Mus musculus: one gene and its partners. The protein of the gene in region 1 interacts with the protein of each later gene in a biochemical or structural test. Links are inferred from orthologs where the notes say so. Each region holds a gene or a part of one and is shown in the gene's direction. Other genes may lie near its edges. The genes, in order: Erbb3, Sh2d1a, Tns3, Nrg2, Txk, Rnf41 and Bcar3.

What was found.
Region 2: the proteins of Erbb3 (region 1) and Sh2d1a form a complex in vitro, tested with the Homo sapiens proteins (2 studies listed by BioGRID and IntAct, with this or other methods). The link is inferred for Mus musculus from reciprocal best matches to the Homo sapiens genes ERBB3 and SH2D1A.
Region 3: the proteins of Erbb3 (region 1) and Tns3 form a complex in vitro, tested with the Homo sapiens proteins (2 studies listed by BioGRID and IntAct, with this or other methods). The link is inferred for Mus musculus from reciprocal best matches to the Homo sapiens genes ERBB3 and TNS3.
Region 4: the proteins of Erbb3 (region 1) and Nrg2 form a complex in vitro, tested with the Homo sapiens proteins (2 studies listed by BioGRID). The link is inferred for Mus musculus from reciprocal best matches to the Homo sapiens genes ERBB3 and NRG2.
Region 5: the proteins of Erbb3 (region 1) and Txk form a complex in vitro, tested with the Homo sapiens proteins (2 studies listed by BioGRID and IntAct, with this or other methods). The link is inferred for Mus musculus from reciprocal best matches to the Homo sapiens genes ERBB3 and TXK.
Region 6: the proteins of Erbb3 (region 1) and Rnf41 form a complex in vitro, tested with the Homo sapiens proteins (2 studies listed by BioGRID). The link is inferred for Mus musculus from reciprocal best matches to the Homo sapiens genes ERBB3 and RNF41.
Region 7: the proteins of Erbb3 (region 1) and Bcar3 form a complex in vitro, tested with the Homo sapiens proteins (2 studies listed by BioGRID and IntAct, with this or other methods). The link is inferred for Mus musculus from reciprocal best matches to the Homo sapiens genes ERBB3 and BCAR3.

What each region holds. Positions count from the first base shown.
Region 1 is NC_000076.6:128,572,636-128,576,135, reverse strand, and holds part of Erbb3 (receptor tyrosine-protein kinase erbB-3 precursor), read left to right. Parts: intron 1-100; coding exon 101-154; intron 155-1,661; coding exon 1,662-1,797; intron 1,798-2,604; coding exon 2,605-2,724; intron 2,725-2,862; coding exon 2,863-2,961; intron 2,962-3,191; coding exon 3,192-3,377; intron 3,378-3,500. UniProt on the Homo sapiens protein: Tyrosine-protein kinase that plays an essential role as cell surface receptor for neuregulins.
Region 2 is NC_000086.7:42,501,332-42,505,364, forward strand, and holds the start of Sh2d1a (SH2 domain-containing protein 1A), read left to right. Parts: upstream 1-1,233; 5' UTR 1,234-1,391; coding exon 1,392-1,528; intron 1,529-3,488; exon of another isoform or gene 3,489-3,561; coding exon of another isoform or gene 3,562-3,563; intron 3,564-3,990; exon of another isoform or gene 3,991-4,014; coding exon of another isoform or gene 4,015-4,016; intron 4,017-4,033.
Region 3 is NC_000077.6:8,490,036-8,493,535, reverse strand, and holds part of Tns3 (tensin-3), read left to right. Parts: intron 1-198; coding exon 199-1,443; intron 1,444-3,500. UniProt on the Homo sapiens protein: May act as a protein phosphatase and/or a lipid phosphatase. Involved in the dissociation of the integrin-tensin-actin complex. EGF activates TNS4 and down-regulates TNS3 which results in capping the tail of ITGB1.
Region 4 is NC_000084.6:36,016,737-36,019,391, reverse strand, and holds part of Nrg2 (pro-neuregulin-2, membrane-bound isoform), read left to right. Parts: intron 1-709; coding exon 710-1,478; 3' UTR 1,479-2,655. UniProt on the Homo sapiens protein: Direct ligand for ERBB3 and ERBB4 tyrosine kinase receptors. Concomitantly recruits ERBB1 and ERBB2 coreceptors, resulting in ligand-stimulated tyrosine phosphorylation and activation of the ERBB receptors.
Region 5 is NC_000071.6:72,749,978-72,754,058, reverse strand, and holds the start of Txk (tyrosine-protein kinase TXK), read left to right. Parts: upstream 1-1,281; 5' UTR 1,282-1,364; coding exon 1,365-1,380; intron 1,381-4,081. UniProt on the Homo sapiens protein: Non-receptor tyrosine kinase that plays a redundant role with ITK in regulation of the adaptive immune response. Regulates the development, function and differentiation of conventional T-cells and nonconventional NKT-cells.
Region 6 is NC_000076.6:128,410,140-128,414,415, forward strand, and holds the start of Rnf41 (E3 ubiquitin-protein ligase NRDP1), read left to right. Parts: upstream 1-1,476; 5' UTR 1,477-1,686; intron 1,687-4,276. UniProt on the Homo sapiens protein: Acts as E3 ubiquitin-protein ligase and regulates the degradation of target proteins. Polyubiquitinates MYD88. Negatively regulates MYD88-dependent production of pro-inflammatory cytokines.
Region 7 is NC_000069.6:122,506,757-122,510,256, forward strand, and holds part of Bcar3 (breast cancer anti-estrogen resistance protein 3 homolog), read left to right. Parts: intron 1-1,369; coding exon 1,370-1,815; intron 1,816-3,500. UniProt on the Homo sapiens protein: Acts as an adapter protein downstream of several growth factor receptors to promote cell proliferation, migration, and redistribution of actin fibers.

The sequences.
Region 1 (3,500 bases):
CCTCAGGCTTGGCTGCAAGTATATTCATCTGCTAAGCCGTCTTGTTGGCCCAATCCTCTCTTGTCTACTTACTGTCTAAGAAGGTGATTTTCTTTTCTAGGTGTAAGGGACCAGAACTACAAGACTGTTTAGGCCAAGCAGAGGTATTAATGAGGTAAGATCGGCTTGGAGAATGTTGGGTTCAGGAATGTTTGGGAGAAAGGTCAGGGAAAGAACGATGTTATTTGTTCTGCCATATATATATATATATATATATATATGTTTTACCTCATTTATGTCTCTGCACTACTTGCTTGCCTGGTCCCTTTGGAGGCCAGAAGAGGGCATGAGATATCTTGGAACTGTAGTTATGAATCTATGAGCCATTATATACGTGTTGGGAATTGAACATGGGTCCTTCACAAGAACAGCCAGTGCTCTTAAGCACTGAGCCTCTCTCCAGTGGCCCACTCTGCCCTTTTAAGTTTTCATTTTTAGCCTGGTGGTGGTGGTATACACCTTTGAACTCAGTACTCGGGAGGCAGAGGCAGGCAGATCTCTGAGTTCAAGGAACAGTCAGGGCTACAAAGAGGAACCCCTGTCTTGAAAAAAAAAAAACCCAAAAAATTATTTTTTACATTTTTGTTTATTTTGTTTTTGTAACATGGTGTCTCTATATAGTCCTGCCTGGCATGAAACTTGCCGTGTATGCCAGGGTGTTTGATAACTCACAGACATCCTCCTGCTTCTGGGTCCCAAATACCAGGATTAAAGGCATGTAGCACTATGCCTACCTTTAAAAGTTATCTGTTTTACTTTATATGTATGAATAGTGCCTTAATGAATGTTTGTATGTGCACCATGTGTGCCCGTGCTCAGGGAGACCAGCAGAGGGCACTGTGTTCTCTAGGATCTAGAGTTAGGATAGTTCTGAGCCACCATGTGGGTTCAGGGAACCAAACCTGGATCCTCTTTAGGAGCTCTGAACTGCTGAACCATATCTTCAGCCCCCCACCCTCACCCCCTTACTTTAAATAATATTTGTTTTGTTTTTAAAGATTTTATTTATTATTATACATAAGTACACTGTAGTTGTCTTCCGACGTGCCAGAAGAGGGTGTCAGGTCTCATTACGGATGGTTGTGAGCTACCATGTGGTTGCTGGGATTCGAACTCAGGAGCTTTGGTAGAGCAGTCAGTGCTCTTACCCGCTGAGCCATCTCACCAGCCCTAAATAATATTTGTTATTTATTATTTGGAAATGTAATACAGTTATGTGATATCTTTTGATCATACCAATCCACCTTTATCTCCTTCCAGATTACCTTCATGCCCTTCCCCTTCCTGATTTCCTGTCCTCCTTTTCATTGTTGTTATTAATAACACCCTGGGTCTATTTAGTGTCACTGGTATGCACGGGGTATGGGACTGTCCACTGGAGCCATTCTTCCCTTTTATATATATAGTCCACCATCCCTGGACTCAAGAGTCCTGGCTTCTCGAATTCTCTTCCTAGATTAACTTAAACTGGCTTAAAAGGGGGCAAGCCCTGTATCTGGGTTGATTCCTTCAGTGCTCATGGGCATTAATAGAGATGAATGCTAACTCACATGTACACCAAATAAATGACCTTTGTGAAGCCACTGTAAACCCAGGATGCTGGCCTTTTCTGTATCCCACAGCAAACCACACCTGGTCATAGCGGTGACAGTAGGACTGACTGTGATCTTCCTGATTCTGGGAGGCTCTTTTCTCTATTGGCGTGGACGCAGGATTCAGAATAAAAGGGCTATGAGACGCTACTTGGAGCGGGGTGAGGTGAGTATTTATCTAGCTTAACTTTGGGAAGCATCCTTTACAATCTGCTCCCAGGGAAAATCGATGAACCTTGGTTCTCTTTCTCAGGAAATATGGTCCCTCTCTTTGAGGGGATGGTATAGAGCTATGGATACAGCTCAGAATGCTTGCCTAACATGTACAAGGACCCAGGTTCAGTCCTAGCAACACGAATGTACAGTGCACATATGTGTACACTCCAGTCCAAAAAGTAGGGAGATGTTCTCATCTTGTTTTTGCCTTTTGCCACAACGATGAAGAAACTACTTTCCTTCTCTGTGGCTCAGTTTATGTCTCTTAGATACAATAACATTCATCCTTCCAAGGTGATGGGTAGTGGTATGTGCAAGTTCCTTGAAAGCTTAAGCATTTTGGTCCAGGGCAGTAATTCTGGCACTCAGCCAAGGCAGAAAAGATTGCCCTGAGTTCAAGACAAGTCTGATCTACACAGCAAGTCCTCATCTTCGAGGACAGAGGGATAGAAAACCAGAATCAACCTTGCATGAAAAGTCTTCGAGATGGGGGTACCACCATATCTCCTCGATTCCCTCCTCCTACTCAAAGGGAAACCAATCCCTCTTGACCTTTCTCATCAGCACAGCTTCCTCAATCCTATAGTTCCTGAAGTGTCTGTTGTTCCTCAGTGAAATTATGAAGCTTTCCAAGACTAAGGACTTATCTTCTTACCCTAGGCTCTGAGCTCTGCTGCTCTTGGTGCAGAGGCAATAGGTGGGACTAGGCTTGTGGGAGTGGGCTTTTACAAATAACTCCTTCCTGTCCACCCCTCAGAGCATCGAGCCTCTGGACCCAAGCGAGAAGGCAAACAAAGTCTTGGCTAGAATCTTCAAAGAGACAGAGCTGAGGAAACTTAAGGTGCTTGGCTCTGGTGTCTTTGGAACTGTACACAAGGTGAGTGACTCTTGGGAAGTCTAGAGAAGTGGGAACAAGATGCCAGGGAAAATGGGAGAAAGATTTTGGCAGAACACTGTCTGAAAAGAGTGATTTTTTTTTAAACCTCCCTCCCTCCCTCCACTTCAAACTTTCCAGGGGATTTGGATTCCCGAGGGTGAATCCATCAAGATTCCAGTCTGCATTAAAGTCATCGAGGACAAGAGTGGGCGGCAGAGTTTTCAGGCTGTGACTGATGTAAGTTAAAGAAGGGACTTCATCTGTAATCTTCAGACTCCAATTAAGTGGATGCCATAATGAGAGAGGCAGTGTTGGTTTCGGGCATGTAGGCATATGATCTTGTGTTGGCAAATAGTGTGTTAGATCCATCTTAGGCATGAGTGTTAGGGGACCTCTGGATTGGGTGTGCTTTTGTGGAGTGTATGCAAACCCGTTACTTCCTGGCTAACACCTCTTATATTTTGCAGCACATGCTGGCCGTCGGCAGCCTGGACCATGCCCACATTGTACGGCTGCTGGGACTGTGCCCAGGGTCATCTCTGCAGCTTGTCACTCAGTACTTGCCTCTGGGCTCTCTCCTTGATCATGTAAGACAGCACCGTGAGACACTGGGACCACAGCTGCTGCTCAACTGGGGAGTACAAATTGCCAAGGTGAGGGGAGTCAGGGGAGGCCTTTGATAGCAACAGCTTAGCTGGGGAAGGTCGGGGTTGAGGAAGGAGGATTAAGGGTTTGAGGTCATGAGTGCTGTCTTCAAGGTGTGGCCAGCTGCTATT
Region 2 (4,033 bases), on another chromosome or scaffold:
GTTTTTAACATTGATGTAGGTAGGCATTTATGTATGAGAATAGAAGTTACAACACATTTATCAACACCTGTGCGATGATGTAAAATGGATTTTATATCCACAATGATTCTGGCCTAGCCCCATATGCCAAAGGGTATATAGAAGTTCACACAGGACACCAATGGACAGACCAAACTGGACAGAAAAAGCCCACAAACCAGCAGCTCTACAGGAAGAACTACAGACAGCTGAGTAAAATCGGAAGTAGAAGAAGTGGTCACCCGTGGGAAGAGCACACTAATTGGTCGTCTACTACCAAATGGCTATCCCTGAAAACATACATACAAATAGCACCATACAGGCACAACTGGATGTGTTTAGGAATTACACGTATATACATATATGCATGCAATAATACAATAATACAATAGCAATGTTGTTGAAGAGCAGGGAGGGATTCATGGGAGGGTTTCAAGGGTGAAAAGGGAAGGGAGAAATGCTGTGATTATATTGTGATTTTAATAATAATAAAAACAAAGAAGTACCAACAAAAGAATTTAGTCTTCTTAAGCTCCTTAGCTAGATCCATCTACACTTTTTTTTTTTTAATATGATGACAATTTTTTTCATAGTTTTGGATTTTGGACAAAACATTAAGGTAAAAATACTTGTTTTGGCCTAAGTGTATTCAAGGATTTGGCATATGGCTTCGGGATAGAAGACCTCATCTGCGAGGCCCCGAATTCCATCATCAGCATTGAAGAAAAGAAAGCTGTTTCAGGACCATCTAGTCCCAAAGTCTGTAGTTCAGTAGCCCTTGGTGATGCTGTGGAAGCCTTGCAGCCATGTTCTGCTGTGGTTTTGTAGCTTGACTGCTTTTATGCTTTTATTTTGTCAGTCTGCTTCTGCCCCTCATGATGAACACGTCCCATTCACTTCTATCACCAATTCTTTTGTTCACTCGTTAAGACAAGTCATTGTCAATGGCTTCGAAGTTTGCAGGAACTACACAAGAACAAAGGCACTAGCAAGTTTCTCATCTTTGTGCAAGCTCTGTTTGCGTTGCTGGCACAGCTCAAATACTGCAAGTGTTCACCTTTTCAGCGTGCCCCCTCCCCCACCACAAACCTTTGTTGGAGAATAGATGATCAAACCCATGACAAGTTTGAAGCTGTTAAACTGCTGAGCTGGCCTGAATTGAAGTGTGAGAAGAGGTTTTAAGGCAGGTAGACAACATCCTGTTGTTAGGGTGTTTCTCTCTCTCTCTCTCTCTCTCTCTCTCTCTCTCTCTCTCTCTCTCTCTCTCTCTCTCTCTCTCAATACTGCCCAGTAAGCCACTGCAGCGGCAACAGCAGCAGCAAAGTTTCCTTTTTACCATCCTTCTTCTGGGCCCATCAAAGAGTTTGCTAGGCATGGATGCAGTGACTGTGTACCACGGCAAAATCAGCAGGGAGACCGGGGAGAAGCTCTTACTCGCTACCGGGCTGGATGGAAGCTATCTGCTGCGAGACAGCGAGAGTGTCCCTGGCGTGTACTGCCTGTGTGTTTTGTGAGTATATCTCGTGGTAGTGGCAGGTTGTTAGCATGGGTAGCCTGCCCTTTCAGGGGAGGGCTGGGAGGAGTGGCAGGGGATGACAGCTTTTGGCAGAGGTACCTAGGGAATACAGGCAGCAGGAACTGAGTACTCTTCCAGCTCTGACGTATGGTCCCAGGGCTCAGCCCAGGGATGTGGTGGGCAGTACTTGTACGTACGTCCCTCACTGCGGATTTTATCAACTGCATTTCACCAGTGCGTTTGTGGCAGCTTCACTGAATACCCTTCAGAATGGGAAAACATGGCCTAGAACTTACCTTTACTTTGAGAAAGACCCATACTCTGGACTTCGGCTCTGATTCCAAGTAGACACCATGATGGTGGAGCCCCGGGAAGTTGGACTATTTGTATTCTGGGCCATGAAGTAAGGCAAAGGAAGGTCTTTCTCTATCATTCTCTACAAATGTGACTGAAAATGGTACCCTAAAAGAAAAGCATCTAGCAAATGCTTGAAGAAGTGGTTAGCCAGGAAATGGAATCCATTGCTTTCAGAATGCAGCCCAGGGAAGGCAGAGGTAGACAGATGTGTGTGAGTTTCAGGTGACTAGCCTGGTTTTACATGGGCCGGTTCCATGCCAGCTAGGGCTACATAGTATAAGATCCTATTAAAAAACAGTAGCCAACAACACTAAAGCAGTACAGTGCTGAAGAGGATGTGTATGCAAGAGTAGGGGCACCTTTCTGGTGCTGCTGAATTGCCTTGTTTTATAAGAGGCATAATGAGTTTTAAAACGTGCTGTGTCCCGTAAATGATAGGAGTGAGAATAGTTTTAAAGAACAGAGAGAGGGAGAAAACATCATTGTAATTATCCCACTTTGAGCTTTGCCTAGACTGGTCTCAGCCTCTTACTCCATTTTGAACCAGGTGCAGCTGCATCTTGGCTCTGTACAACCTCCCTGAGCAAATCCTACTGTAGTCAGACTCAAAAGGTTGTTATCTCACAACACCAATCTCTTAGCCATTGATTTTAAATGGGATTCATATTCTAAGGGTCAATGAAGATTAAATACCTCCATGTACAAAAAAAAAAAAGACAAATGAACACTGGGCTTGACGCTCAGCAAATGGAAGTCTGGTTTATTATTAGTCTCTTTTTGGACAAATTATTCCGGTACTCCTTGAGGCAGTCTACAGAAGGACCCAGTTCAAGCACTACTGTAAGCAGGATATATATATATATATATATACATATATATATATATATATACACACACATATACACACACATAATACACACATACATACACACACACATATATATATATATACACACACACACACACACACATATATACTGTATGCTTATACATATATCCCAGTAAAACCTCACTCTAATACAGTAGAGTCTACATGAAAGCAAAACAAAAATGCTTGGTAGTGAGTTCTGTACATGATGATACACTGCAAAAATTTGACGTACTCTCTGGGCCAGAAAATAAAGATTAAATTGAGGCTGGTGTGAGAGGATTGTCATTGTATATTGATTTTTTTAAAAAAATGTCCAAGCCTTATTTTTGTCAGTTTTTAAGATCATGCTAAATACATTTATCATAAAGGCTTCAAGGTAAATATATGGAAAAATCATTTTTCAGTGTTGGGGACAGGATCCAGAATTTTATATGTGCCTGAAAAATGCTTTTTTATTAAGCTAGATGCCCAACCCTGGGCTTGGACCTTTATGTTCCCAAGTGGAACCCTAAGAAGGGCTAGGGAAGCCAATGACAATCCTTAGTTATTTTTAACTTGTCAAAAGATGAAGGATGGTGAGTGAGACGGGCTGCTTTGGGCACACTGATAATAGAAGGAGCATGCTCCTTAACCAGAAGGTTCACATGAAGCCTATATAGGGGAGAGAGGGCTGGAGACAGTACAGCTCACACTTGAATTTTTCTTCCCACCTGGTCACCCCGGAAGGTAACTAAGCCTGCTCCCTACTCAGGATTGTCCAGTTTCTGTTCAACATTGCATCTCTTGATCATTCCCACAAATGTAAGTGCCCTCTCTGGGTTGCTATCCCATTTCTTCTATTCAAGGAACTTTAAACATGCTAATATAAGTTTGTTTACTTATATATGGGCTCTACCACGAAACTACCTTCACAAAGGAGCAAACATTGCCTCTACCAGGACTATATCCTGGTACATAATAGGCACTCAGCAAACAGTTTGGAATTCGACTAACTGTTCAGGCATATGCTCTTCACTATGAAGGGCATCTGGCTGCCAAGAAGCCAGGGTGGGGGCTCTAGGAAGTCATTCAAATTCTCTGGGGCTTCACCTTACATCCGTGTAAAATAGAAACCTGTTGTTTCCTCTGTTATAAAAGATGGCTGTAAGTGAAATCTTGAAGAGAAGGAACCTTAGTATTTTGGTATGTAGGCCGGAACCATGTAAGGAAATTCTCAGCCTTCTGGTTTTCACTCACCGGGGATGCTGTATAAATGTAAGATGCTTGTTTGT
Region 3 (3,500 bases), on another chromosome or scaffold:
ATATATGAATCCTGTTTTATTGCTGCTTTCTCTGCAGAGGATTGTGTAGAGTTTGGGGACCCGAGCTGAGACTGCACTTGCGTACTATTGAGTTGCATTATAGACCCACTCATCTGTTTAGATAAGTGCGTGCCCACTGTAGTAGGTAATACTTCCTTTTCTCCCTTGCTTACAGCCTGTCTCTTTCTTTTTCTGCAGTGCTACACACACAGGGGCCAGTGGATGGCAGCCTGTATGCCAAGGTGAGGAAGAAGAGTGCCTCAGATACTGGCATCCCTAGTAGCCCCCAGGGCATGCCAGCCACTAGCAGTCCAGACCACGGAGACCACACCCTGTCAGTCAGCAGCGACTCAGGTCATTCTACTGCCTCCGCCAGGACTGATAAGACAGAAGAGCGCCTGACCCCCGGAGCACGAAGAGGCCTGAGCCCTCAGGAGAAGGCTGAGCTGGACCAGCTGCTCAGTGGATTTGGCCTGGAAGACTCTGCAAGCTCCCACAAAGACATGACTGATATGCGCAGCAAGTACAGTGGGACACGGCATGTGGTACCAGCCCAGGTCCATGTGAATGGAGATGCTGCCCTAAAGGACCGGGAGACTGACATTCTAGATGATGAGATGCCCCATCATGATCTTCACAGTGTGGACAGCCTGGGTACTCTTTCCTCCTCTGAAGGGCCCCAGTCCACCCACCTGGGTCCTTTCACCTGTCTCAAGAGCAGCCAGAACTCTCTCCTGTCTGATGGCTTTGGCAATGGTGTTGCTGAAGATCATAATGGTGTCCTTTCTCCAGACCTGGGCCTTGGTGTAGACACCCTTTACGATCGGGAGCGGATGTGTGGGGGCCGAGAGCAAAAACCGCTGCAGCCCCTGTTGAGGAAGCCCTCTGCACCCACCCCAGTGCAGGCCTATGGGCAAAGTAACTATTCCACCCAGACTTGGGTACGTCAGCAGCAGATGGTGGCTGCTCACCAGTACAGCTTTGCCTCAGATGGGGAGGCCAGGCTTGGCAGCCGCAGCACAGTGGACAATACTGGCCTTGCCCAGCCCCCACCCCACATCCCAGTTACTCCCAACCGTGGAGCCAGCAGCAGAGTGGCTGTTCAGAGAGGCATCAGCAATGGGCCAAATCCCCCCGACACACAGCAGCTCTGTCCTGGTAAAGCTCTCCAGCCCAGATTTCAAGATGACAGAGTCACGAATGGAGTCCATCAGGAGCCGAACACTGGCTCCTCCCCAGGCTCTCCTACTCTGGATATTGATCAGTCCATTGAGCAACTCAACAGGCTGATCCTGGAGCTGGACCCCACCTTTGAGCCCATCCCCACACACCTGAATGCCCTTGGCATCTCAGCTGTGTGTCCTGACGGTGTGGGAAGTGGGCTCCGGTGTAGTGGCCGGCTGGACTCTGTGGATGGCCCTGGCCGGAGCCCTGGCCGGCAAGGTGAGCTGATGGGGTGTTGGTGTCAGGTAGGAAGTATCTATGCAGCTGGGAATTTGGATTTGCTGAAACTGATGATGGAGCGGCATTTTCTACTCTCACAAGCTGTGGCCTAGAATCCAGGTGATACTGTGGCACTATAAGAGCTTGTTAGCAGAATTGAAAGGTGGGGAGAAAGAGGTGTAAAACTTGCCTATAAAAATGGTTTGGGGCCGGGTGGGCCCCCCTGAAGATTCCTCTTCTTAGGAATCAGTGTCTTATTTCACATACTTGTCACGCTTGTTGGTAAGTGCAGTAGGTCATTTGGAAGCACCAGATAGCCTGGTCCATGTTCCTTTGCCACCTGCCAGCTGTGTGATTTAAAACCTATGTATACATCTCTGAGCCTCAGTTTCCATGCCTGAAGAATCAGCTCAACAATGAAACTTTTCTCAGTTCAAGAATGTCCCTTTAGGGAAGAGTGCCGGGCGTCTTGGTGAGTCAGAAGACCCTGCTGGGCTCTCGAGTCATTCTTGTAGAAACAGAGCAGGAGCCACCATGTGTTAGAGAGGAGCTTGGAGGGTCTTGATGACTGAGGGAGACAGGTACATGGAGCAGAAAGTGGAGAGTGTGGAGTGGCCTCAGACACAGCAGATCTGGGTTCCTGGATCCTGAAAGCTGTGATTTAGAACCAAGACCTAAGCCCAGCAAGGGTGACAGCCACTGTGTGAGGGCCGTTTGTGTACTGCACCTTCTGAAGTTGGTAAGAGTTGTCAAGAGAAAACTGTGTGGGCCTTTCTGCCTTAAAACAGGGGAACTGGACACCAGAGCAGGGGCTTCCTGGCAAGGCCAAGCTCAGTAGCCGTGGACAGTGTCCTCTGGCCAAGTCTATGGGAGTATTTCCTGCAGACTGCATCAGAGTGACGATAAAGCCTGCTTCGGGATCAGATTACTACCAGGTGTTCCTTGTGTGTGTGAACACAGGTCAAGAGGGTTTGAGAGACACCTTTGTCATTGGATGCAAAGGCAGACAGCAAGCCACAGTGTATGACGTGGGCGGAACATCCTGAGAAAAGGTCTGGGAGTTAATGGAAGGGACAAGGCTCTGGCTGGGATCTGCACAAAGTTATCCCTGGAGGGGACTGGCCAAGGTGAGGCGCCTATGTGAGGGTGATGAAGTGGCTGCAGGTGGTGGCGGGTAAGGTGGAGCTGTGGGTGGTGTTGGGAGCCCGGACCAGGAAGGCAAGAAAGACAGTGCAGGAGAAGGCTGTCCCCATCTCTTCCTTCCTCCCATGGTTGCTTTTCTGTGCTTCTCAGTGAGTCCGTGTGAAAATCCCCCTTCTTGGGTGCTAGTAATGCTGATGATAGAAGTCCCTGTGTGGGCTGACTATTGCTTTAGGGTCCTGGCAGAATGGCTTAGTTCATCTTCCAAGGCCCCTTGCTTCAGGGCCTTGCTTCACCTTGCTGTCACGTCTGTGGAGACTACTAGGTGATGACAGGGCTTGAGTTCACGTAGACCCTGTGGTATAGACCCATCCATGGTCTCTGCCCTCTTTAGAAGGTTGCAGCCTGGCTGATGTCTGGCCCCCTCCCCTTCAGGCAAGAACAAGATCTTGTAGCATGGATCCTAACCAGTGTCAGGGTTGCGTGGACTGCCAGCTAGCTGGCAGGCTGCTATCAAAGGACAGGGTTGCTGGGACTTTTGCTCATGCTAGCTGTGGAAAGGAAGGGCCATCCCAGTGTCTGGTGATGAGAGGTGAGAAGAGAAGCCAGATTACATTACCTGGGACATGCTGGGATCACTGGACTAACAGCAGGATCTTCTCGTTGGCTGGAGTGCTGGTAGGTTTGTGTTCTCCCCAATACAGTTCTGAGGAAATTCAGAGTTCTAAGGTTTCAGTGGAAACACTTAAGCAAACTCTACGACCCTTTGCTTAAGGAATGTTCTTGGAAGGCTGTACTTGGGAAGAATAAATCAAACGCCTTTCTTCCAGGAACAAAATCCCCTCCTGAGTTTTGGAAAACTTTGCATGTGTCTAGCGGTGTATGTGGGTGGACCCAGGACTCAGGCGCAGGTGCCT
Region 4 (2,655 bases), on another chromosome or scaffold:
CTTGAGGTGCCTACCCCGTGTCACTTCCCTGTGGTAGCCTTTGGATACAAGAAGGCATGTTCCCCTCACTCAAGCCAAGCCAGGGAATAAACTGTCACTGCAAGAGCAGTGAGCTCAAATCCAGGTAGTCTCTGAATGGTGGCTAGTGGTTCCTGGAATTAAGCATACTATTCTCTGCCTAACCTGGATTCGAATCCCAGGGACAGGTACCCAGGATTCACACTGGGAGGTATTAGCAAGAAACAGGCCTTCAAGGACCTGGGGATCATCGGCTCTAAGATGAGACACCTAGTGGTGGAGGAAGGAGTTAGTTGATTCAGAAAGAATGAAACAGACCTACCACATTTTGGTCATTCAGTCCTTGGCACTTCAAGTCTGGGTCCCCTTTTTCCTATATGTAGTATAGCCCTCACCCACAGATGCTACAGAATAGATGAGACCACACATAAAACACTCCAACCTGAGCGTGCCTCGGAGACTGTGAACGTCCCTACAGTACTCCCCTAGTACATTTCTGAAATTCTCCAGCATCATACTGGAGTAAACACTACATTCATCTGTGCTTAACAGATAAGAAAAGGCTGGGAGGTTCATGGAAACTAAACGTGGTCAGAGCCACGGCTCTCACTCTTATGGACACTTTCTGGTTGGAATCTCTGGTGAACACCAGCACTGCACCCTGACTCCCGACCCTCTGTCTCTCCCACAGGTACGTGTCAGCCTTGACCACGCCCGCTCGCCTCTCGCCCGTGGACTTCCACTACTCGCTGGCCACGCAGGTGCCGACTTTCGAGATCACGTCGCCCAACTCTGCGCATGCCGTGTCGCTGCCGCCCGCCGCGCCCATCAGCTACCGCCTGGCGGAGCAGCAGCCGCTCCTGCGGCATCCAGCGCCGCCCGGCCCGGGGCCGGGGTCGGGGCCCGGAGCGGACATGCAGCGCAGCTACGACAGCTACTACTACCCTGCGGCGGGGCCCGGGCCGCGGCGCAGCGCCTGCGCGCTGGGAGGCAGCTTGGGCAGCCTGCCCGCCAGCCCCTTCCGCATCCCGGAGGACGACGAGTACGAGACCACGCAGGAGTGCGCGCCCCCGCCGCCGCCGCGGCCGCGCACGCGCGGCGCGTCCCGCAGGACGTCGGCGGGGCCGCGGCGCTGGCGGCGCTCCCGGCTCAACGGGTTGGCGGCGCAGCGCGCACGCGCGGCGCGGGACTCGCTGTCATTGAGCAGCGGTTCGGGCTGCGGCTCGGCGTCGGCCTCGGACGACGACGCGGACGACGCGGACGGGGCGCTGGCGGCCGAGAGCACGCCATTCCTCGGCCTGCGAGCGGCGCACGACGCGTTGCGCTCGGACTCGCCGCCGCTGTGCCCCGCGGCCGACAGCAGGACTTACTACTCCCTGGACAGCCACAGCACGCGCGCCAGCAGCAGACACAGCCGGGGGCCGCCCACGAGGGCCAAGCAGGACTCGGGGCCCCTCTAAGGCCCCCCGCCTCGCCCGCCCCACGTCTCCAAGGAGAGCGGAGACCACCGACTGGAGAGGGAAAAGGAGCGAACAAAGAAATAAAAATATTTTTATTTTCTATAAAAGGAAAAAAGTATAACAAAATGTTTTATTTTCATTTTAGCAAAAAAAATTGTCTTATAATACTAGCTAACGGCAAAGACGTTTTTATAGGGAAACTATTTATATGTAACATCCTGATTTACAGCTTCGGAAAAAAAAAAAGAAACAACAAAAAAAAAAATAAGAGAGATGGGCCAATTTTTTGACTCTTTAATAGAAACCTATATTGTGGTGCCTTTTGCTGTACGCTAATCTGGGGCTCCTGGAGAGCCGTCTGGGGTGCAGTGTGAGGGTGGGCGCTTGTAGGATCCCAAACTGGTGGGGGTGAGAAAGGGCAGGGAAAGAAGAGACTGTGAGGTTCTAATGGCTCTGAGGAAAGTGGACAATGAGGAAGAAAATGAAGATAAGATGTAATTGTATTTTCCCCAGTCCTGAGCAGAGAAGGCAGGGATGTTAGCCTTAGAGCTGGAATTGAGATTGGGTTATCTCCAAGGACACTGGCCTCCCCGCTACAGCAACTAGAATGGGGAAGGGTCCTCCCCAGCCCTCACAGCTGCTAAGGGAAAGAGGACAGAGAAGGCTGTCTCCCCACCAGCCCCCTGCCGAGGGAGGGGGCAGCTCTACCAGGGGCCCAACCTTCAGGGCTCCTCCTCCCTGGCGGCCTCCAGGACATCCTCTGTCCTCTGCAGCGCCTTCGTTTACAGGTCGTCTTTTCTATTTTACGCCTGCATGTCCTTTGCATTTCGGATTCTTTAGATTGAATGCATGGTCACGCTGGGACCCAGAAGAGCCACTCCGACAGTGTATTCGATTCCCCTTTTAGCAATAAAGTAACACCATGTCCTTCTCACAGCCCAGCTCCCAACCCACCTATGACTTCCATCTTCCAATCCTGCCCTCCCCAGCCAGCCCTCACAACTGGATCCAATGCTAATTTGTCAAAAAAGGCAATTGTCTAAAAAGCAAACAAAAATCCCAAACAGAAACAAATGGGAACCCTGACATGTCCGAACACCTGACTGTTGACACTTGAACATTTTTATATTATAAATAAAATCAGAAATAACTCCTGTTTGACTGTGTGTACCTAGGT
Region 5 (4,081 bases), on another chromosome or scaffold:
TTACTATTATTGCTAAGATAGGCCCCACCTATCTTCTCCTTTTATCTGGATGAGCTGTGAAAGGAACCAGGGTGTGCTCAGGAAAGTTACAAGAAGGTTGAGTTCCTGTGTGAACAATTTGAAATACTCTTTCTTATCACATGTAGGTCTCAGGGGGCAGGATACATGTGTGTATGTGTGCATATGTGCCTGTGTGCATATGGGGGCTAGAGTTGATGCTGTGTGTTTTCTTCGATTGCTTTCCACCTTGTGTAGTGAGGTAGAATCTCTCATTGAACTCAGAGCTGGCTGATTTGGCTGGTCTAGCTAGCCAGTTTGCCCTCAGGATCTCTTGTCTCCATCTCCCAAGCACTTGGTTTACTGGTGGGAGACCGTGCTCTCTTGTCAATTATGTAACTTTTCTGGCTCTGAACTTGGGTCCTTATACTTCAGTGTCAAACACTTTGCTCACTGAGCCATTTCCATAGCCCATACAAATGCTTCCTATGGGAAAACAGAACAAATGAAAGGGAGCGCTCACGCTGTAGACTTGTTCATCCAACCGAGGTGCCAATGGGAACCTGTCAAAGCTGAGGCTAAATCTTTTCTTTTCTCTGTCCCTGTCTTTCTGTCTCTCTGTCTCTGTCTGTCTGTCTGTCTGTCTCTCTGCCTCTCCTGTCTCTGTCTGTATCTCTGTCTGTCTCTCTGTCTCTGTCTTTCTCTCTGTCTGTCAAGGTTTCTCTATGTAACCCTGGCTGTCCTGGAACTCTATGTAGACCAGGCTGGCCTTGAACTCACTCGCCTCTGCCTCCCAGAGTGCTGGGATTAAAGACTTTTGCCACCACACCTAGCTTCAGCCAGTTTTTAAAACAGATCTTTAGATTCTCCCCTAATCCCAAACCAAGTCTTTAGAGTCAGTCCTAAATCAGAGGGCCAAACATCCTAGTTTGGATATTCATGATCCTAGAAGTCGATTTTCCCTGTACCACTATGAGCCCTCCAGTAAGTAAAATTTCTTCTTGTATGGTCCTTTATTCCAGTATCAGCACAGGGAAGACAGTTTAAGTTGACTACTATGAAGGCCCCTTTTACCGAAATTCTGTGATTTCTTCAAAGTGTTTTCTAGACACACCCACAGCGTAGGTATAAGGAAGTGCTAACACTTCAGATCTGGATACAGAGCTCTGAAGTTTCTTATGTAGGCCACTGGGTTGTCATTCACACACTCTTGAGGTTTTCAGAACAGGAAATTAGGTGGGGTAAACTTTGCCTGTGAGAAACGTCACAGGCCAACAACTATGCTTTCAGTTGAAAGATGTGTTACCGTGAGTGGAACAGAGCTGAAGAACCAAGGCTTCTGTGTATGGCCAGCAAGCAGGGTCGCCATGATCCTGTCCTCTTGTGAGTAAGATGGGCTTTACCATTTAATGTCACAGCGTGTTTATGGGTGTGTTGCCTACTGGTGACCCCTAGGAGTGGGTTTTGCTAAAACAAGGAATTTGTGAAATCCTAAAGATGATTTCTTCAGATGTAGTGACAGGATTTTGTGGCTTAGTTAAATGTCCACTGCCTCTTGATAAAATTATATACTTGAGAATTGAGAATACAGATGACAATAGCAAAAAAAAAAAAAGTTGTGTACTTAGCATGTGTGGAAATTCGGTCAGTGTGATGGGATATGTTTGTTTTTTGAATGATAATGAACTCAGAGTTGAGGGTGAAGAGATCAGACTTTTCTGGTTTAGCCTCAGCTTTGACAGGTTCCCATTGGCACCTCGGTTGGATGAACAAGTCTACAGTGTGAGCGCTCCCTTTCTGCCTCCTCCTATAGCCGTCACAAGTAAACAGTGGGCAAAGCTGGCAAGCACATCAACTAATCTGAGAGTTGCTTTGAAAGACTTCAAGACGATTTTTGGAAGCACTCCACAGTTAAGACTCAAGAGAGGCTAATTATGTATAGGGGTTTAGGAAAGGAAAAAAAAAAGACGATCTCTGATTTTAATTCTAGATGCCCTGGGAATCAAACATCAGTAGAACTTAGTCATTCTAGATTAGGCCAGAATTCTGATTTATTTTTAGCTGGCAGTAGGAAAAAACTGACCGAATTTTACATATCTCTTTAAGCCACAGCACGTTATTAGGACCTCCAGACATTGGTAGGATTTATAAAAATAATCAAATGCTATTTTTGTTGTGCCTTCCTGAATATGATTTACAGTTTGATTCACTAAGAACAAAACAAGACAATAACAACAACAACAGCAACAGCAACAAAAAGGTTTCTTGTTATCAGAAATAGGCCAAGCAGCTCAAGACAGAAAAAGATACAAAGAATTGTCACGAGTCCCCACCTCCCCAAGGGCAGAATAATGTTGAGCAGATGCAGAATATGGACTTTTAAAGGCTTTGATTGTTTCTCATGAGATCAGAACCAGGGGAAGGAAGGCCATGTGTTATGACAGGAAAGGCTCAGCTACGTGTAAGGCAAGTAGATGCAGAGGCTGTCTAGGGATGAAGTGGGAGACTACTTATCTATGGGGTCTTAGATTTCCCCGTGGCCTGGGGGGGGAGGAATGGTTTTAATGCAATGTCCCTGTACCATCCAGTGTCTGTCTGTCTGTCTGTCTGTCTGTGTCCTTCTGCCATGAGCCATAGCTAAACCACTCCATTTTCTTCTGCGTGAAATAATGAGTATTCGCCATTGACAAGGCACCACCAAGTGCCCTCCAGGGTGTTTTAAACTTAAGGATGCTTATTTGTATGCGCCAAACACATTGACTGTTCAAGGGGCTGCCATGGTGACCTGGAGTCACAGGCTGCTGGAAGGGAAGAGGAGGTAGTTGTATAGAGTGGGGTTTTGATCATAAAGGAATGATGGTGGCCTCTGAACAGGGTCCAAGACACTCCTCCAGTGAGGTTACATTTGTGAAGTGTTGGAATTGCCAGTGTGTTTGGCAGCTAAGTTACCGTGAGAGCAAACTCAGACATTTACTTAGATGGCAAGATCCCAGTACAGCAGCTAAGGATTAGAAATTTCTCCCTTTCACCTCTTCTTGAATGCTTTTAATCTATTGTTTGTGGAAAGAAAAACCATATAAAAATGTTTCATATATATACATATATATACACATATGTATGTATATATATGTGTATATGTATATATATGTGTGTGTGTGTGTGTGTGTGTGTGTGTGTGTGTGTAATCTTATGGTCCAGTTTGCCTGATACATGCCTGGGGGTTCTGCTTAAATGCAGGTTTCTAGGTTCATTATCATCATTTGATCTGAGGGTACAGTAAGAAACTTTGATTGCACTGTATTTCCAGGGCCTCTCCATTCCCAGAGTACTCTCATACCAGCCCTGCAAAGCTAATGGACCATTATTACTGTAATTAATATGAGGATAAGCCGGGTAGCTGGGATAGGCATCCTTTAGGCTGGCCTCTGGTGCTAACTACTTTCAGGTATGATCAACCCCTCATCCTAGGCATTGGACTCTTTACCTCTCTCAGATAGAGTATGTAAAAACAATGGGATGCCACCTCTGAGACTTGGTGCACAAAAGACGGAGCTCTTGTCTTTGCTGCGTCTGTGAACATGGAAGTGGTTTTCTAGCTCCAAGCCAGCAGGGTTTAACTGCAGCTTCAGTGAGCTCTGCTGAGCCGTTAGAGAACTTGAAGGGACGCTGGCTAGCCCAAGTATGGCAAACACAGCTCTGGCAGGCCTTGCTCTTCTTCTCCATTCCCTCTGCCTTTCTAAACAGTTAGATTACACCCTAAATAAACCCCTAAGGTCTATTCGCCTATTTTGGCCACTTCCTCCTCCTGAGGCTGGCCACCAAGGTCCAGCTATGAAAGTATTGAAGTCCAGCAATCAAAAGCCCCCTTTGACTCACCTAATTAACATGCCCAATTAAAATCAAACACCTCATTCTAACACTGGGATTCCCCTTTTACATTTATAAATGGCCATTTTCCTATTGGTCATGTCTGTCTCCTCTCTATCCAGAGGCAGTCCTTTGTGACACCCTTCTGGGACAAATACCTTTCCCCTCCCTCGATCCCTTCCCCTTCTCCCTCATCCTCTGTCTCCTCTTTGTCTCT
Region 6 (4,276 bases), about 160 kb from region 1:
ATGGAATGCAGCAGGAAAACGTTTTAGTTCCAGTCTGTTTCTTTGCTTGTTTTCTCGGCAATTCTTTTTTTTTTTTTTGCGGGGGGCGGAGGGAAGGAGTTTGAGACAGGGTTTCTCTGTGTAGCCCTGGCTGTCCTGGAACTCACTCTGTAGACCAGCCTGGCCTCCAACTTAAAAATCCACCTGCCTCTGCCTCCCAAGTACTGGGATAAAGGCGTGCGCCACCACTGCCCATTTTACACATGAAAATGGAAAGTTAGTTAAAAGCCAGTACCTTGGACATGGCAGGAGCTTACACATCATCTTTAATGTACCGAACGGTTCGGCTCAGGGCTCTGGGACAAGCAGCATTTTCGCCATAGAAAGATAATACGCAGATTCACTCTCCTTTGAAAGACGTTGAACCCGGAACATAAAAAGCAAGCCTCAAGCCAGGTGGACACTGGGGAGGCAAGAGGTAGGCGGATCTCTTGAGTTTAAGGCCAGCCTATCCTACATAGTGAATTCCAGGACAGCCAGGGCAACAAAGAGAAACCCTGACTAGGGGAGAGGGAGGGGAGGGAAGCAAGTTTGACTTGGTTCACAAAGGCACATCCGATTCCTGTTTCCTTATTTTATTGTATCTCAGAGACACCTAGAAGCTTAAGTTTCCTCTGGTACTCGTCATATTGTCTTCAAAGGAAGCAGCTAGCTCTGTATTCTCACGAATAAGCTAGTTACATATGTACTAATGTGAATTGCCCTTTAAAAAAGAGAGTATCTACAACAAATACTATTTGACACCAGATTAGCCTAAGAGGTAATGTAATTGCATTCCTTGTCTTGCTTCCCCGCTTACCTAACACAGAGCGCTTTAAACTCCACCACGACTCTCCTCGGGTTCTCTCCCACCCATTTCCCCTAACCACAGTGTTGCAGCCTTAGGAAATCAAATCCATTAATGTTTCGGGCGGTCTGAGTTTTTGAAGAGCCATCAGGAATACTACAAGAGTGTGTGGCTGGGAGGTGGACGACCCCTGCAGCACCCTAGATCAAAGCTTTGCGGTGAGACACTCCCTCCCTCTCCATCCTGCGGCCTCCTAAGTTAACAGCAGCATCCATCCCCATGACTGTGAGTCACAGGTCGGGAGGCTCCGGGATGCTGACCACAGCTCTGGAAACTGAAGGGCTGGGAGGACAGCAGGCCACGCTGCAGACCAGCTGCCCCGCGGCGACCTCGTCCCAGCGCTGCACCAGGTCTGGCACCCGAGCCGTGCACCACCCAGCACCAAGTAACTCTGCAAGGCGGGACACCCAGGGTCGCCCCGGAGCTTCACACCTGAAGCACATAGAGCCCTCCCTCCCAAAAGGCTACACTGTCCGTCCTAAGAACTTCCGGCCCAGAGCGGAGGCCCAGCTAGCCCCCGCCTCTCATAGGCCGCTCGCAAGGAGCATCCAGGCGCCGCCGAGTTAAATAGAGAGGCGGGGCTTGGTGACGAGCTTCCGCCCCGTTGCGTAGCAGCAGTGGGCGTGGCTAAGGGCTAACCCGAGACAGCGAGGAGTGGTCGGAACCTTCTTCCCCATCCTTACCTTCCCCTTCCCCTACGGGGAAAGGCTGAGACCGGGCACACAGTGTGCTACGCGGCCGCCGTGTCCTCAGCTGCAGCCAGGCCCCGCGTCCGGAGAAACCAGGCTGCGTTCCGGGTGGTGCGTAATGCGCCTGGGCGAGCTTCTAACCCTGGGGGGTTGGGGGGGAGAGGGGGCGAGGTCCCTGTGGATTGGTGCCTGGGTCCGAAGTGCTGGGGGTAGGGAGGAAGGGTGGAGAGGAGGAGGAAAATGGAGGAAGGGAGCTCAGCTGGGAGGAGTCGGGAGGTGAGCTAGCTGGGGGCTCTGGAGCTTTGGAAGATCCTCTGGAGTAGGGAGAGCCTCGGGAAGTGCGGGAGTGGCCTTGGGCCAGCCTGAGGACCCGGGAGGAGCTGATTGCTGGGGCTGAGGGACAACATGGAGTTTAAATGGCAATGATTGACAGGCCTGGAGGCGAAGGGAACGTTCTGGGGGCTAGCCTTGGCAGGGACCGCGGAACCCAAACCTCCGCCCTCCAAGCGCCATAGCTTGGCTTCTTTCCCATGCCTTGTCTTTGGCAGCCTTGTCTTTCTCTTTTATTCCTTCGCCGCTTCTCTCCCCTCCCGCCTCTCCGTGGAGGACTCTTACATTCCTTACATCTTTGACCCTGAATGATTTGCAGCCCCGCTCTCTGATACGCACGATCCATCCACTCGTTTAATACACTGGAAAGCCCACCCCAGTCCAGGAGGCAGGGCATTTGTGGGGTAGAGAGTGAGGGGGGGTGGGAGTAGGGGCAGGAGAAAGACCTGAAAAAGCAGGATGAGGGTGTTTTGGATTGGTACACTAACTTCATTTCATGAAACTTCATTTCAACTGGTAGCAAATGTGATGGTTACCAAGGCCACTGTTCTTGGGAGATTGACCTATGAGAATCTTGGCAGCTACTTCTTATACAGTAGTTTTAACTACTGTAGCAGGATGGGTGGCTACTAGTGTTCCCCCAAGAAAGAGTGGGATTGGATAGTGCCAAGGGAGGGTGAGGGGTGCATTTGTTATGCAGTGTCTTCAGTAAACCTTGTGGCAGGGCCTACTTCCCAGTGATTGAAAAGAAGGAACAAGCATTTTCAAGCATTTCCTCTGGTTCTCACTGTGAGTTTATTTTGCCATTCTGTTGCAACAAGTAATACAGCAGTCTTACACGTGCACTCAGAGTTTATCTCATTTGATTTGCAGGACAATAGGTTAGAAAATGCAAGTGTCATATCTGTTTGACAGTTGGCTACACGGCTTGTTTGAAGCTGTCCTGTCAGTGGATGGCAGAGCTAGGACTGGAATCCAAGCCCACCCTCCTTCCCCCTCTCTCCTGATTCAATGCTTGTCTTACAACTCCTGGTCTGTTTTCCTAAGGGTTAATTTTCCCATTACAGGAGGCTTTTTGGTTTCTGTGTTTGGAATTTCTTGTCCCTAGGAGACCAAGCACAGCCAATATAGTACCTGTTCCTGGAAGCTTTTTTTTTTTTTTTTTTTTTTTCCTGAGGTACAGGTGCATGTGCCAGATGGTTGGGAAATGAAGTGTTGTTCAAAGGAAGGAAGCATTCCTCCTCCCGTGTTATGTGGGGTGGGGAGGAACATCAACTCTCTCCTCTCTGGACCACAGTGAAGAAAAATTCTGGGCTTTACATCTCTCTCATTCACTGAGAAGACACACTGAACTAGGAGCACATGTACCCAATTCAGGAGACCCAGTAGCCTTTGTGTTCTGCATGAAAGATCATCAGGTACTCTCCTAACTTAGCCCTTTCACTATTGATACACACAGGATAACGAGCCGGGGAGTTTAATTAGTCATGCTGTGTCTCATTGACTCCGATTCTCAGGGCCCTGGAATAGCCCTCAGTCCCATCTTTTCAGGCATGAGCCTGGTCAACCTGGTTTTTTTTTGCTTCCTGGTCGACCAAGTTGCCTACCTAGAACAACACTATCTCTGCTTTCTTCCTCCTTCCCAATTGAGAAAAGGTCCTGCCTGGTAGCCTCTCCTGACCGAGTTCACAGTGATCTTCCTGTCTCAGCCTCCTGGGTGTTGGGATTGCAGGCATGAGCTACCGTACCTGCCTTCGTTCTTCCTGTTTATGAGTAAACCCGCTCTCTCAGTCCCCACCCCTTTGTCTTTTTTTAAAGCCTTATCCCTTCAGGGGTGTTTCAGTTTACACCTATAGCGACATTACTGAGTATTCTCTGTGTGAGAAAACATTTCCCTTGTGAGAGTCTGGATGTTTGGGGATCTGAGTACTCCAGGCTTACATCCCTGCCGGGAATGATCTAAAGCCCTGCTTTCTCACTGTCTTCTGACTTTTTCCAGCCCTGGCACTATAGGCATGCTCTCTCAAGTACAGAGCCAGGGACTGAGTCCCAGTGCTTTGTAAGCCGAGCTGCATCCCCAGGCCAGTTTTGGGTTTGTTTGAGACAAAGTTTGGAACTTGCTACGTAGCCTGAGCTGGCCTTGAACTCAAATTCTCCTATTTCACCTACTGAGTGCTGGGAATGCAGGCATGGACTGTCCTCCCTGGCCTCTAGAATAGTTTTTACATGATATCATATAAGTAAAGTCACTCCAGAAACATTAAAGGACTGTACAGGGCAAGCGCTATGGATTTGTATTCTGTATAGCCACTGATGTGGGATTTTTGGCATTGCTTGTAGTTATATGTGCTGAATAAAGAAGTATATATGT
Region 7 (3,500 bases), on another chromosome or scaffold:
GGAAGCCGGGTGCCAACACTGTCCCTTTGAAGGTTTCAGCCACTCTATAAGCAACAGCATTATCTACATCTTATGGATGATGTAACTGAACCACAAGGCACTTATGTAATTTGTCTAGTCACACAGCTGGGGCAGAATACAAACCTAGGTGGTCAGGCTCCAGCATGATGTACTGGATGGCTGGCAACATCAGCACCATAGTGGCTACCTGTGGGGCTGTCCACTGCATTACAGGCATTGTACTCCTCGTGCTTTGCCTATTTCTCATATGCAAATGGATTATCTTTACAATAACTTTGTGGGGTGAGGAAACCTCAAATGTCTTTGTATTTTTTTTTTCCTAGCCTCCTAGCTTGTCCAGAATCCACCATGCCATCCCTGGGTTCATCCTGCTCTGTAAACGGAAATCTGAGGAGGATGATTAGGGGACCCAGACCCAGATAGCCTCTTCCTCTTCCCTTTGGAAAAAAAAAATCAGACCCAATGAGCATACAACTTCATTTCGTCCGCTGTTTTACATTCTCTAAGTCTGTGTAAATGTCCTCTTCTTGGGACATCTTCCTGGCCACCCTCATTTGAACAATAACCCTTCCAAATAGCCCATCTCCCTTCCAAAGTTTTTCTTTCCTTAGCTTCACAATATTCAGACTCACCATACTTGCAGCCGTCTGTCCCGAGAGTGCTATACCAAATACACACACGCACGCGCGCACACACACACACACACACACACACACACACCACAAAGCCCCCGAGGAAGCACACTTAGTCATTGCTGTGTCTCCTGAGTCTGCAGTAGTGCTGGGCATGTAGAAGATGGTCCATAAATAGTTTGGGTGTTTTGTTTTGCATTTGAGAGGGGGATGACCTCAAATGAATTATGTATTCCAGGCTGACTTCAGACTTACAGTCCTCCTGTCTTAGTTTCCTGAGCACATTGATCACCCGTGTGCAGAGCCATACCCAGCTAGGATACAGTCCTTGAGTGTGTCATTTAACAAACAAACTAAAGACGTGACTAAAAAAAGGGAGTGATAGGAGATGGCCCGGTTGGTAAAATAGTCATCTTGCAAGGACAAGGATATGGGTTCGATCCCCAGAACCCTCATTAAAAACAAAACAAAAACAAAAATCAGGAGAGCCAGGTGTGGTAATACATGGAGTGGAGAGGCAGAGAGAGGCAGATACCTGGGTTGTGGGAGACCGATTGTGCCTAAGGAAAGACTCCTCTGGTCTCTGCACGCATGCGCACACATTCGCACACATTCGCGCACATGCGCACACAGCAGACATAGCAGCACTGCCTTCTGGAAGTTCTTGAGTGAATATGTTTGCCTTTCCTGCTCCTCATTCACCATTTTGACTACAGGTGTCTGAAAACCTTGTGCAGCGGGATGGGGACTTCCTGGTTCGCGACTCCCTGTCGAGCCCCGGAAACTTTGTCCTGACCTGTCAGTGGAAGAACCTCGCTCAGCACTTTAAGATCAACCGGACTGTCCTGCGGCTCAGCGAGGCCTACAGCCGTGTGCAGTACCAATTCGAGATGGAGAGCTTTGACTCCATCCCGGGGCTGGTCCGCTGCTACGTGGGCAACCGGCGGCCCATCTCCCAACAGAGTGGTGCCATCATCTTCCAGCCCATCAATAGGACAGTGCCCCTCTGGTGTCTGGAGGAGCGTTATGGCACCTCCCCGGGCCGAGGCCGGGAGGGCAGCCTGGCTGAGGGAAGGCCAGACGTGGTGAAGAGGCTGAGCCTCACCACAGGCAGCAGCATCCAGGCTCGGGAACACAGCCTGCCCCGAGGAAACCTCCTCAGGTAGGTCTGTGGAGTGCTGGGGCCTCGCTTAGGCGAAGGGGAGGAGAGGGTTTTAGAACACTCACCGTCAGTGGATAGTGGTCACGAGTGTGCATGATTAACCCCCACTTAAAGAGCATCAAAATCAAGTGGTGGAGCTAGATGCGGGATGCGTGTGAGTAATTTCAGTGCTTTGAGGCTAAAATGGGGCGAGTGCCCCAAGTTCAAAGCCATCCTTGACTACAAAATGAGATTCCCCATTTCTAAAACTAAAACAACAACAAAAACAACAACAGGGTCTGAGCAGGGGATATGTGGGGGACACTGCAAAGAAGAGGGGGTTCCAGGGACTTAATGTGAGACGTTCAAGGGCCAGAGGAGCCTGGAGGGTTGATTGGCCAGGCTAAAGTAGAGGGTCTGTGTAAGGGAGGGATGGGGTTAGGAGGAACCCGACCGCACCCCACCAACGCTGATGGTGGAGGCTTTCTGCCCGGCTACAAAAGTTTGGCACAGTGAACAGCAGATCCTGAAGCAGAACTGGGTAGCATTAGGCACAGAGTGGGGAGAGACGGAAGCAGGGGAGCCAGCATAGGCTTCAGCAAGGGCCCAGGCTGGAAGGGGGAGGTGGGGTCGATTTCTGAGGTCTTCAGGGTTAGAGGAAAAAGCCCACCTAGGCAGTATACTAAGGGGAGGGCAGGGACTGTGGACATGCTGTGTGTCAGCATCCAGCAGGGGTCAGTGCTGAGGCTAGGGACTGGCCCTGCGGAAAAGGATTGGCTTGGAGGGAAACAGATGGGGTTTGAAGGACTGGAAGCGTAGAGGGAGGAAACTGGACTCCTGTGCCTCCTGGGCTGAAGTGTTCAGAGAATAGACAGGCAAGGCTGAGAAGGGAGCTCAGTATTTGCATAGGACTTAGCTTCCAGAGACGAGACACCTTTTCAGGGCCAATTGCTGGGGAGGAAAGCTGAGATGTAGCCTGGACCCCTCTATTGCCCTGGCTCCCCCGGCTCCTGGTGTCTCATATAAGTAAGCGTGTCCATTCGCCTCTCTGCTTTCCTGTCTGGGCCAAGAGAAAATATAAACTATAATTTCTTTACTGCAAACGCCTTATGAAATACAGGACTATGTAAGTAACATAAACTGTAGCTGTTGCCTGGTATGTATTAGTCAGCAACTGACTCAGAACCTGTGGCTCCATGCTGGTTCCCATGTGGTTAGCTGTGCAACCCTAGGCAGACACCTTCAACCTCTCTGGGGCTCCCTTCCTTGGTCTGGAAGCATAGACGCTGTTGAGTGAGGGTGCAGGAAGTGGACCGTGTTTACTCTCACAGCAAGCGCTGGTATTCCTGGGAGCTGTTTTTCTCTGCAGGGGAGGCAAAAGTCAGACTTAGGGGCAGGCAGGGAGGCGAGGAAGGGTCTGGGAGATGCTCTTCTGATTGGCCTTTGGAATGTAGAGGCTCTGGGATAGTTTCCCACAGGAAGCGACCAACACACTTCAGGTGGGGGAAGGGCGACCTCACCATGACCAGTGTGGCCTTAATGGGCTAGTCACCCTACCCTGCTGCCCTTCAGTGACTTTCCCACGTCAGCTTTGGCCCACTGCCACCTGCTGCCTGCCTGGCAGCCTGGGGCCCTGGGCAAAGGTGTGTATTTTCAGGCACTCTGCTTCCCACCTATCTAGCCACACTGGACTCCCGGAACAATCT